Linked DNA regions of Callithrix jacchus. The protein of the gene in region 2 binds, or shares a complex with, the protein of the main gene of each other region. Links are inferred from orthologs where the notes say so. Each region holds a gene or a part of one and is shown on either strand. Other genes may lie near its edges.

Evidence for each region.
Region 1: the proteins of ARMC8 (region 2) and GID8 are in contact, whole or in part, in a cryo-EM structure (PDB 7NSC), measured with the Homo sapiens proteins. The link is inferred for Callithrix jacchus from reciprocal best matches to the Homo sapiens genes ARMC8 and GID8. Residues at the interface, in NP_001350870.1 of Homo sapiens: Asn45, Val47, Ile48, Gly49, Asn50, Val85, Ser89, Met92, Arg127, Arg130, Arg161, Tyr162, Tyr166, Leu200, Ser201, Tyr202; in NP_060366.1 of Homo sapiens: Ile83, Ala84, Asn87, His90, Pro91, Glu92, Leu94, Asp95, Thr96, Tyr101, Tyr183, Glu184, Asn185.
Region 3: the proteins of ARMC8 (region 2) and GID4 are in contact, whole or in part, in a cryo-EM structure (PDB 7NSC), measured with the Homo sapiens proteins. The link is inferred for Callithrix jacchus from reciprocal best matches to the Homo sapiens genes ARMC8 and GID4. Residues at the interface, in NP_001350870.1 of Homo sapiens: Glu309, Pro310, Asp311, Val312, Asn371, Glu373, Arg406, His409, Arg413, Ser414, Val415, Gln416, Arg419, Thr420, Gln423, Asp424, Val444, Ser448, Cys451, Asn452, Leu455, Phe457, Ala483, Val486, Asn487, Trp490, Met493, Asn494, Phe497, Gln498; in NP_076957.3 of Homo sapiens: Leu104, Ile105, Pro106, Pro107, Pro108, Pro109, Ile110, Gln114, Pro115, Gly116, Val117, Ala118, Thr119, Gly125, Gln146, His147, Tyr154, Cys156, Tyr158, Phe174, Glu176, Phe239, Val241, Pro242, His244, His292, Ser293, Ala294, Pro295, Ile296.

The regions. Positions count from the first base shown.
Region 1 is NC_133506.1:58,465,748-58,469,492, forward strand, and holds the start of GID8 (glucose-induced degradation protein 8 homolog), read left to right. Parts: upstream 1-1,209; 5' UTR 1,210-1,417; intron 1,418-3,745. UniProt on the Homo sapiens protein: Core component of the CTLH E3 ubiquitin-protein ligase complex that selectively accepts ubiquitin from UBE2H and mediates ubiquitination and subsequent proteasomal degradation of the transcription factor HBP1.
Region 2 is NC_133518.1:46,106,160-46,109,804, reverse strand, and holds part of ARMC8 (armadillo repeat-containing protein 8), read left to right. Parts: intron 1-485; coding exon 486-628; intron 629-733; coding exon 734-831; intron 832-3,645. UniProt on the Homo sapiens protein: Component of the CTLH E3 ubiquitin-protein ligase complex that selectively accepts ubiquitin from UBE2H and mediates ubiquitination and subsequent proteasomal degradation of the transcription factor HBP1.
Region 3 is NC_133506.1:69,115,464-69,119,208, forward strand, and holds the start of GID4 (glucose-induced degradation protein 4 homolog), read right to left. Parts: upstream 2,524-3,745; 5' UTR 2,452-2,523; coding exon 2,014-2,451; intron 1-2,013. Other genes in the region: ATPAF2 (ATP synthase mitochondrial F1 complex assembly factor 2), read left to right, coding at 2,917-3,049.

The DNA.
Region 1 (3,745 bases), on a different chromosome or scaffold from region 2:
GTGAGCCGAGATCGCGCCACTGCACTCCAGCCTGGGCGACAAAGTGAGACTCTTGTCTATAAATAAATAAAATAAAGATCAAGAACTGTTTCCGTAGGGTTAAGCAGTTGCAAATGACGTAATTACCGACATGTACTGCCTCTGCGTTATCAAGCAAAATTCTGTCAAGACCTTAGACCTGTCGATTGAGCTCTTTCGATTGAGCTCTTTCGATTAACGGAAAATGTCCAAAACCGGTCGTCTTTTTCCAGCCTCTTTGCCGAACGGGACTGACTGAGGCCGAGCAGCCCGACCGGCGTGCCTTACGCGTTACTCAGGTCACCCGCCAGCAACCGCGCGAAACCCGTCACCCCGACCGCGCTTCAGAGGCGTTCCCTGGACGCCTCAGATGAAACCGGCGGCCGCCCCTCAAGGACTCTTTCTTCCTCCGGCTCCATCAAATACTCTAAGTTACTTCCCAGCCGCGGAAACAGGGGACCCCGCAATGCCGGAGCGTGCGTTCCTCCCGAGCGGACGGCAACAAGCAAGAAAACGCTCACACACCCAAGTGCGGCCTCACTGAGCCCCCCGGCCCTGCCCGCGCCGCCGCTGGGACTCCGCCCCGCAAGCCAGCGGGGTCTCCTTTGTCCCGCGCGCCCGGGCCGCGTCCGGCCCCTACAGCGCGACCTCAGGGAGGGCAGCGACCTCCGGATTCCCCACCTGGCCTCGAGTGAGGACGCGCTCAGTAACATCTCGGATAAAGCCAAGGAATCACTTCCGCGAGCAGAGACCACGGCTCCCGCCCGGCCAGGCCTCGGGTCCGCGGCCTCTCCCGGGGCCTCAGGGACACCAGTCCTGGCAGGCCGCCGGTCGGGAGGGGACTTCCTCCACGTCTCTGGGGCGACCGCGGATACCCGACGCCCTTCCTCCGCCCCACCCCGTCCGGCCTCACGCAAACGACAGGAAAAGAGCTGAGACCTTCGCCTTTGACTCAGTGCAGACGTCGCCATCCTTGCTCCAGGTTTCCACACTCCAACGCCTCCGCAGCAGCCATCTTACCCAAAGGCGGCCGACGCCTTTTGACTCTCGCGCCAACCCGTAGCGCGAGGTTGCCGCGAAGAGAGTTGTGCGCAAGGACGGAAGCTGAGCTCCCGCTCTTCCGGGAGGCTGTCGGTCCCGCCCCTTCGTGGGGGCGCTCCATTGGTCGTCTGCTCGCGCTCTCGCGCTCTCGTGCTGTCGCGAGAGGTGCTGAGGGGCGGCCGCCGGTGCCCCTTCCCTCCGCTCCCCGCCCCCGCCCCCGCCTCCGCCGCGGCCCCCGCCTCCGCCTCCTTCTACTCAGGCGCCCCGGCTGCCGCCGCTCCTCCCCGGCCCAGGAGCGGTTGCGGAGCCGCCGCCGCCGCTGCCCAGACCGCGCAGCGCGGGAGACAGGATTCGCACGGTAAGATGGCGGCGGCGGGCCCGGGCGTCCGGGCCGAGCGTCTCCCGGAGCCGGGGCAGGCGGGACGCGGCCGGGGTGCGCGCGGCCTCCGCTCTAGCGGCCTTCGGTGCGCTGGCGCGAGCTGGTGCAGAGTTGAGGGCAGTCAGGGATCAGCCTCCAGGCGCGCGGCCCCAGGCGCTGGCGTTCAGGGGCGGTCGCTGTCTCTGTGGAGCGGCGTCTGTAACGTGGTTTTTAAACAAAATCTGCCGGTTGAAAGCAGAAGCCGAGCGGGTGAGGATGTAAAGCGTGGCGTGGAAAGCAGGAGTCTTCGGCACCCAGGGTGTCTCCTCCTGCTGAATCTTTTTATGCGGAGTTTGAGACTACCGAGTTCTTCCCGCAAACCGGACGGGCCAGTTCTCCAAAGTTGTTGCTTTTCATGGACGCACGTAACTGCCCGGGAGTGGAAGCGCACTGAGTCCCGATCCCCGAATGGGCCAAGGGAAAAGGTGCCTTTCCTAGGGAGCTCATAATGTGGGACCTAGGGCCGGGGCCGGGCGCGGTGGCGGAGGTCGAAGTGGGCGGGTCACTTGAGCCCGCGAGTTCGAGACCAGCCTGGGCAACATCGAGACCCCGGTCTCTGCCAAAAACAAAATAATTAGCCAGGCGTGGTGGTGCGCACCTGTAGCCCCAGCTACTGAGGAGGCTGAGGTGAGAGGATCGTGAGCCCAGGAGGTCGAGGCTACAGTGAGCCAAGATCGCGCCACTGCCCTCCAGCCTGGGCAACAAAGCAATATCCTGACTTTAAATGGTCCTTAAGTTACCTTTGATTGTCATGGATAAAAATTTGGTCTCAGTGAGTTTTGCAGTTGACTAAGTGCAGGAGGTGGGTGTTGGTGCGTGACGGCAGATCCTGGTCACTCCACCTTACCTGCTTCTCCACAGCAACTTTTCTTCTGCTGGTGCCATTTCCTCTGCTTGACCTTCAAGGCTGGCATCCTCTAAGTAATGACGATTCTCATTCCCTAGGTACGCTCTCCCTGGGTGGTCTTTGCTGAATTCTTAGCTTTAAATATCCCCGTCCCCCGCCCTATTTTCCTAATTAATGTTTCCAGCACTGAGCTCAGGATCTGGAATCCAGACACCTGCTTGATTTCTCCAGCTGCATATCTGTCTAATAGTCACCTCAAACTTGCCCTGCTTCTCAAACCTGTTCTTCTCCCAGTCCTTCCTCCTTATTTGTGGCCCCATCTTCCAAGGCCTCTCATGCTTGAAACCTGTGACCATCTTCAGTTCTTCCCTTTCTTTTGTCCCGTCATCTTCTGTCCAGCAGCAGCCACTGATTCCATGACCAAAGCGTCCTGATCTTACCTGTCTCTCCGTCTCTTCTCCATGTCCTCTCTCACTTGAGTGTCTCCTTAATGGACTTGCTGGTCCGTTCTCACCACCCTGCATTCATCCTTTTTTCAGCCAGGAGACCAAAATCATCTTTTAGTTATTTAATTTACTGAAGCACTTTAGCAGTCCTTTGTATAAAGTAGCATCTGTAACACATATATCAGTGACAAAAGATGAAGACAGAGTGGACAGTGGTGTGACCACTGCCCATCTCAGGTACCCAGCCATTCTCCCAAAGCTGGAACAGCTGCCTCTTGGGCTTTAGACATCTGCCCCTCCCACAGGTAACCCCTCCTGAGTGTCAGCTTTCATGCCCCTATTTTAAGAAACAAAATAGTTTGGCCACATATTTGTTGCTAAAGCATGCATCATGTATTTTATCTTGTTCCTTATAAAATACGCCACATTTGGCCTCTCCTGCAACTTGCTTTTTTCATTCAGCATTGTTGTATGACAGTCATCTTTGTGACTTTGTGTGACATTATCTGCTTTATGAAATTCTCTTGTGTGAGTACATGACCACAGAACTTTCTCAGCAATGCTAAAGTCTAAACATCTCTGACACCAAAGTTTATGGTTTCGTTTGGCCCAAACCTCAGCAGAAAGTTTAATAGCCCTGCTGCTTCGTGTGGATACTCACACATTTCACTAAAGAAGTAGATTCTAATGGTGGGGAACTCCCCCAAACCCCACGGAGGCTGTTCCATGGTGAATGGCACCAAATATCACTGTACATTGAAGTATTCCAAATTCAAAACACATCTGCCCAAGGGTTTTAACATGCAGTGTGGTTCTGTGCAGGTGGGTGGCTTCCACACTTCTGCCAATTTGAACAGTGCTGCCGGGAACAGGGTTTTCTGTGTTTGCTGCGTTCTGGTGAGTTTTTCTAGAATATAAATGTACTAAAAGAAGAATTGCTGGGTTGTAAGGAGCACACATGTTCAGCATTACAAT
Region 2 (3,645 bases):
AACTCCCTTACCTGAGGAGCTGCACAAGGGCTTTATAGATTCCCTCTAGGCTCTATCTCTACAAACTGCACTTCTGCTCTAGATTCAGAGCAGTAGCATTTCTAGATTTCTAGTTTGAATATAAGATCTGGCAGCACATGGCATTTGATTGAGAGTCTTCATATTTTGGAGACCCAACAGGAAGTGGTAGATGATGTGGACTCTGATGATGCTGTTTCTACAGAGACCACTTGTGGACAACTTTCAGATGTACACTTTTGATAAACCCTGAGAATATGATAGTTCTTTTTTTCAAAACCTCTTCTAGATTTTTTTCCAGATGTTTCTTTCTTTAATTAGCAGATGAGATAAACAAATGACCATTGAATTAATATAAACTCAACCAATCATGTTTTTATTATGTGGACTGCACAGCCTTTTTTGGTCACATTGAGCCTTGATTAAATTTTTTTAGTCTTTTTGTTTATTAAGTTCCTTCTTTTTAGATTGTTGTACTTGCTTCAGCAAGAAACCTCAACCACAGAGCTGAAAACTGAATGTGCAGTGGTGTTGGGAAGTCTTGCTATGGGTACTGAAAACAATGTCAAGTCTCTACTGGACTGCCATATTATCCCTGCCTTATTGCAAGGTATGTAGGGAAGCCATTTTTTGCTCAAGTAAAGATAAGAATCAGTTTACAGTACTTTAAATACTGGTTGAGAGGATTAGTCCTAAATTTAGTTTCTGTTAATAGGACTACTGTCCCCAGACCTGAAGTTTATTGAAGCTTGTCTCCGATGCCTGCGCACCATTTTCACCAGTCCTGTCACTCCAGAGGAGCTACTGTATACAGTGAGTTTTAGATGTATTTGAGATATTAGTTGCATTTCACTAACAGCCTACTCCTAATTTGCTTGGCATCTTTAGACTCATCATAACTATGTTGTATAAAAAAGCCTCAGCTGGGCATGGTGGCTCACACCTGTAATCTCGGTGCTTTGGGAGGCTGAGGTGGGAGCATTGCTCGAGGCCAGGAGTTCAAGACCAACCAGAGTGATGTAACAAGACTCCATCTCTAATGAAAAAAATAAAAATAAAAATAAATTAGCCTGGTGCAATGGTGCATGCCTATAGTCCTAGCTACTCATGAGACTGCAGTGGAAGGATTGCTTGAGTCTAGGAGTTTGAGGTTATAGTAAGCTATGAGGTGCCACTGCACCTCAGCCTGTGTGACAGAGCAAGATCCTGTAACTTAAAACAAAAAAATAATAAAAGTCTCTGCCAGGTGTGGTGGTTCACGCCTGTAATCCTAGGAGTTCGTGAGGTCAAGGCGGATATAGTACCTGAGGCCAGGAGTTAAGACCAGACTGGCCAACACGGTGAAACTCCGTCTCCATTAAAACTACAAAAATTAACTGTACATGGTGGCACATAGCTGCAACCCCAGCTTCTTGGGAGGCTGAGCCATGAAAATCACTTGAACCCAGGAGACAGACATTGCAGTGATTGGAGATCACCACCCCACTCCAGCCTGGGTGACAGTACAGACTCTGACTCTAATAAATAAAGTCTCAAAAACTGTTTGAGTTCTTGCCTCACTATACATGTGAATTTGTGTGTGTGTGTGTGTGTATGTAGGTATGTATGTATATGTGAAAGAATCCTGAGACAAGTTTCTTGACATAGTTCCACAGATGAAATGCCCTCTGGTTTCTGTGTTGTCATTTTTCATTCTTCAAAAAAATGGTGATTGTGATTATCTGAGCCAACATAACAAATTATGTTGTTAAATTGTGCACACAGGAGTCAGAGATCTTACCCAGAATTAGGCTTTTTAAGTATTTCAAGACTAGAAGTAATAAAGAGGCATAGGCAAAGCAAGCATAGAGAAGAGACATGTCACATGGCTCCCTAGCCTGTCCTTTCTACATCAGACACATACTCCGCTGGCCCTTAATGATACATAAGGTGGTCGGTAGATGAGATTTATGGGTTACCTCACATAGGGAGCACCTAAATTATGAAAATTCTTTTATTTTATTTATTTTTGATAGGGAGCTTTGCTCTGTCACCCATGATGGAGTGCAGTGGCTCAGTCTTGACTCACTGAAACCTCTGCCTACCAGGTTCAGGTGATTCTCCTGCCTCAGCCTCCTGGGTAGCTGGGATTACAGGTGCATGCCACCATGCCCGGCTAATTTTTTTTGTATTTTTAGTAGAGACGAGGTTTCACCATGTTGGCCAGCCTGGTCCTGAACCCCTGACCTCATGATCCGCCTGCCTTGGCCTCCCAAACTGCTAGGATTGCAGGTGTGAGCTGCTGCACGTGGCCTAACATCTTTATTTTATACCTCATAGTTTTATGTGAGATTCTTCAGGGAGTCATACCTCATATATCTATAGATTGTTTACTGCAGTGGTTCTCAGATTTGAGGTTGCACTAGAATTACGTGGAGGGCTTGTCAAACAGGGATTGCTAAACCCCACCTCCGGTTTCTGATCCAGTGAGTTTTGGGTGTGGCCTGAGAATTTGCATTTCTAACAAATTTCCAGGTTCTCTCTTTAAGAGTTACTACTTTACTGTAGACATCCTGCTTAAAGCTTTCCATAGAGGACTTAGTAAATATCAGTTTATTTTCCTGTAGTTCATATGGTAATGTTTGCAGAGATTAAGCCAGTCACCTGTCTTATTTACCCTGGAAGTTTCTCACCTACCCTCAATCCCATAATAAGGGGAGAAGTTGATCCTGGCCAACTACTTTAACTCCTCCCACCTCACTCTCTAAACTGATTTTTGTCCTACTAATGGATCATGGTGCACAATTTGGAAAATTCTGGTCTATGCCAACTGTTTTACATGAGAAAAATTGAGACCCAGGGAGGTTAAATTTAGATAGAATATCTAAATTATGAATCATCTCAATTTTGTGCCTCAGATATTTTATACCTCAGAGACAGTGGAGAATTTGTAAAGAGTTGGATTGGGGAATAACTAGCAGCAGTGTTTCAGTGTATTAATTGACTTCTATGAGTTGGGGTGTATAAAAGCCAGCTGTTTGAGCAACTCAGGCTGTAGAATAGAGATGGGGTAGGTAGTCCAGTAAGAAGATGGCAGGATTTCTAGTTTGAAATTGTGTTTATTAGGTGGGTGATTTTGGGTAAATTTTGTATTCAATAATTGTTCTTTGCCTTATTTAATCATCTGTAAACTGTAGATATATAGACACAATTAACAGAAAGGGGGCAGATATGAAAAAATGGGATGGGGGCTATTGTAACTGAGGGAAATTGAGGAATGCAAGAACATTAGAGGAAAAGAAGGAGGTGGAAATAGCTTTAGGAGCCTAATAGAGACTTTTTAATCTACTTCTCTACCTTTTCTATCTTAGCTGCTATGTACTTCACCATTCTTTGCTCAAAGTAGAGTCTGTAGGCCAATGGCATCAGCCTCATTTGGAAGCTGACTCTTAGGATCCTACCCCAGACCTACAGTATCAAAGTACATTAAGAACATCTCCTGGGAATTTGCATGCACATTCCTTCTTGGGAAGCATAGCTCTTGTGATGTCATTGACTGGGAAGCTTGAGCTAAGTCTTCTTTCTTATCTGCGGTTCTAGCCAGATAACCTTTCAACTTTTAATTTCTTCGGCATTCTTTTTTTTCTT
Region 3 (3,745 bases), on a different chromosome or scaffold from region 2:
GGGAGGGAGGAAGGAAGGAAGGAGAGTTGTAAAAGGCAGAAGTATTTTGTGTCTAAGAAGGCTGTATCTGAGAAACTAGTCCTGACTGAAAAACCAGCTGATGGGGCAATTCACATACCACTAAGTAGTCGTGATGATGACCAAGCAGCTCCCCAATCCAGATGTAGGGCAGCATTCCTTGGCATGACCACCATCCCCACCAGCAGACTTCCTACTCAAGTGGCTCCCAGCCATCTGCCAGGTTTCTGCTCTGAGCTGCCTGAGACCTATCAGCCCTGTCCCAACTCAATCACCGCTTCCACTGGTTCACGATTCTCCTTCTGACAGGAGCTCAGAAGTGACACCCAAATGACAGAAGGGAGCAGTAGTTGCTGCAGTTGTCAAAGCAGACTCCCCTTTGACACCTGGCTACCCTGCCAATTATCCCCTACTACATGAGAAACCATCAAACTCAACAATGGGGACAAATCCAACACCATCCCAAACATGACCCACCCTGGGTTCTCACCTCCAGAATTCTGATTAGGTGCAAAACAAACCGAAATGATGTTCACATTTTAAGAAAACAAGAAGAGGATCACCACATTAGGCATATAGTTATGAAGACAAAAATATTTCAACCACAATAGTTTTTCCATTATAATAAAGATTGTGGTTCATGTTAGAACTTTACAGACCAAAGATAAAATTAACATGATGATGCTGTTTCAAGTAAGCAGAGAAAACTATTTACTCCCACACAGCAGTATGAGAATGAAAGAGTGATGCCTGCTCTGCAGATAGCAGAAAGAAAAGGCACCCTCATTGTCTTTTGAATGGGATACCTACTCTTCAGAAGTAAAACTAAGATTTAGAGTTTTAACCCGTCAAAAGGCAAGCTTGAGGAACAGATACACTGTACATTTCACCCTCACACCCGGGGGGCAGTATTTCAGCTGGCAAAAAGTGTCAGGCCTGAGAGGAGTGAGGTGTGGGAAAGGCCCACACAGGTGAAGCTGTACTTCCAAGGCTGATCAGGAACTGGCAGCAGGTATTCAGGAATCCAGGTCAAATGCAGGGAGGCTGCTGGACATGAACTAAAACTGGGTGAGTTAGATTTCCCAGTACATGGGTCTCAGACACTGGGAGGAAGCCCTGTGCCTGTGTAGAGAAAAGTTAAGAACAGCAAACAGGGTCCCCTGGAACCAGGATCGAGCAAGACGAAGATATGGGGTGGGGAATCTGGACAGATGCCAGGAAGATTAGAAGACTGCAAGTGGTCCCAGAGCAGGGGCAGGAGGCTGGGAGGTGGAGCAGCTGGAAGGGGCTGGGTGCCTGGAGCATGAAGAGAGGGAAGCAGCGAGTGGAACAGGGGACCCAGGAGGCAAGATCCCAGCAGACTGTGAGCAGCACTCAGGGAGTGAGTGTCTGGTCTTGAGGTGGGGCCAGGGCCTGACCAATCAGTGGTGCGTTTGGTGTTCCCCCGTCTGAGGGGTCTGATGAAGCCCTCCTAAGGAGATCTCAGGAAGAGGAAGCCCCCAGGGTCTGCGGATTCCTGGGACTGAGGAAGAGGCGGGAGGGCAGGACTCAGTTCTGAATCTGACATGGGCCCAGACACGGGGAGTGTCCAGAGTCTGGTGAAACCAATGGAGAGTTCTTCAGGGTCTGAAAAGGGCTCGTGGCAGTCCCTGATGTAGGGACGGCAGGTCATGAGGAGGGAGGACCCGGGCCTTCCCCGAGTCATGGGGGCTTCCGGATCCCGGACCGGCCGGTCACCGGCTTCAAGTCTGGGAGAGTGTTCGGGGTCCGCCAGAAGCGGGTCTTGACGGGCTCTGGATCTGAGGGGGCAGGTCAGGGCTGGGGCTCGGAGAGTGTGAGGCACAGGCTGGGCAGGTCCCGGGTGGGAAGCGCCGGGTGCAGGAGGCCCCGGCGACGAGGGCCTGCTCCGCGGCTGCCGGCTCGAGGAGCCGAGACGGGCACGGCCCGTGAGCGCCGCGAGGAGGCCCTCGGGCCCCGGCCCGGCCCGGCGCTCACCTGCAGCACCACCTCTACGTCGTACGAGTTCCCCTTGCTCTTCTGGTGGCCGCGGAACTTGGAGCCGCTGTAGAGCAGGCTGGTGGCCACGCCGGGCTGCTGGGTGTTGATGGGCGGCGGCGGGATGAGTGAGGCCGCGGAGGCAGCCGAGGCACCGGCTGGCGGGGGACACTCGGTGCGGACCGGCATCGCGGGGTCCCCCGGAGCCAGGGCTGGGGGGAGTGGGAGAGGAACCGCCGCCGCCGCGCGGGAGCCAAGGAGGGTGGCTGGGAGGGAGAGGCCGAGGCGCGCACGCGCAGGGTGGGGGCGGGAGGGGCGACCACCCGTCCGCTGTATGCAAACTAAGCGCTTCGGCCGCCACCGCGACCCAGGGACCTGAGAGCAGGGCCTCCCAGTCCTGAGCTGGGTCCCCCTCCCGACTTGCCCTCGCGCACACATACACACACACAGACACACACACACACACACAGACACACACACACACGCACGCGCGCGCACGCACAAACACACACCCCGCCCCTTCCGATTGGCTCGGGCGAGCCGGTGAGGGCGGGAACAGGTTTACACGGCGCTTCCACCCATTGGCGGGAGGAGAAAGCACGTGGTGGGGTGCGCGAGCGGCCCGCTGGGACTTGTGGTCTTCTCGCTGAGGCGCGGCGTGGAGGGGGCGGAGCGAGGCGCGTTTGTGATGCTAATTGACTGGGGGTGTGCGCAGGAGGCGTGCGGCGGCGACGGCACGCCGTTGGTGTCATGTGGAAGATGGCGGCATCCAGGGGAGGCTGCGGGCTCTGAGGGGGCGGTGAGAGGTTTCCGTACAGCCCGATCGTGCGGCTTTGGAGGTCCCTTCGCTCCGTTTCCTGCTCTAGGTTTCACGCTGCGCATCCTCCCAGACTATCGGGCGCGATGTGGAGGAGCTGTCACCGGCTGCGGGACGGGGGACGCCGCCTCCTGAATCGGCCTGCGGGTGGCCCCAGCGCTTCTAAGAGTCCGGGGCTAACCATCCTGTCTCCAGCCCGGGCTTACGCCCCGCCGACAGGTGAGGCCATGAAGGGCCGAGCTGGGGGTAAGGTGGAATTCGGACTTCTGCTGTGCAGGGCGGTGTGACTGAGGCAGGGTTCAGGCTCATGAGGTTATGCAGGCCAGTCGGGTCCTTTTACAGACGAGAAAGAGAAGCCCAAACAAAGGCAGACGACCCGAGGGGGAACAGCGCGTCCTGCACGAGACATTAATTGATATTTGGCCTGGGCAGCTTTTCTCAAAGCTTATGGCTGCCCTCTCTTTAATGAGGAAAGCAAGTGTCATCTTTGTTTTCCAAAGGGGAGGTTTGGGCCCTGAATCAGAACTTCGCCTAGGTTACAGAGCAGACTCGGGTTTCTGGAGTCTGACTGCTTTCTATGTCTCCACTGCCCAACATAAGACCTGCACAGAAGGGCCAAGTTCAATCAGTCCTCCATCCCGGGCACTTTAGCTGCAGGTTTCCTGACTTTCCATCCTGTGCAACCCCTGCCATCTGCAGCCTTCTCTCTCTCCTAAATAGAAATTGACACCTCCATCTCTGATTTTGGAATCACCTCCACCTCCAACTCTGATGAAGCTTAGAAGTTGTGGCTCTTTTGTTGCTGATAGTGAGTGGTGTTAGGGTGAGAGGGCAAATGACTCATTTCAGTGAAGGAAGAGCAGTAACACCCTCCCGCCACCATTCAATTACTTTTATTGTGCTGGGGGCAGGAGG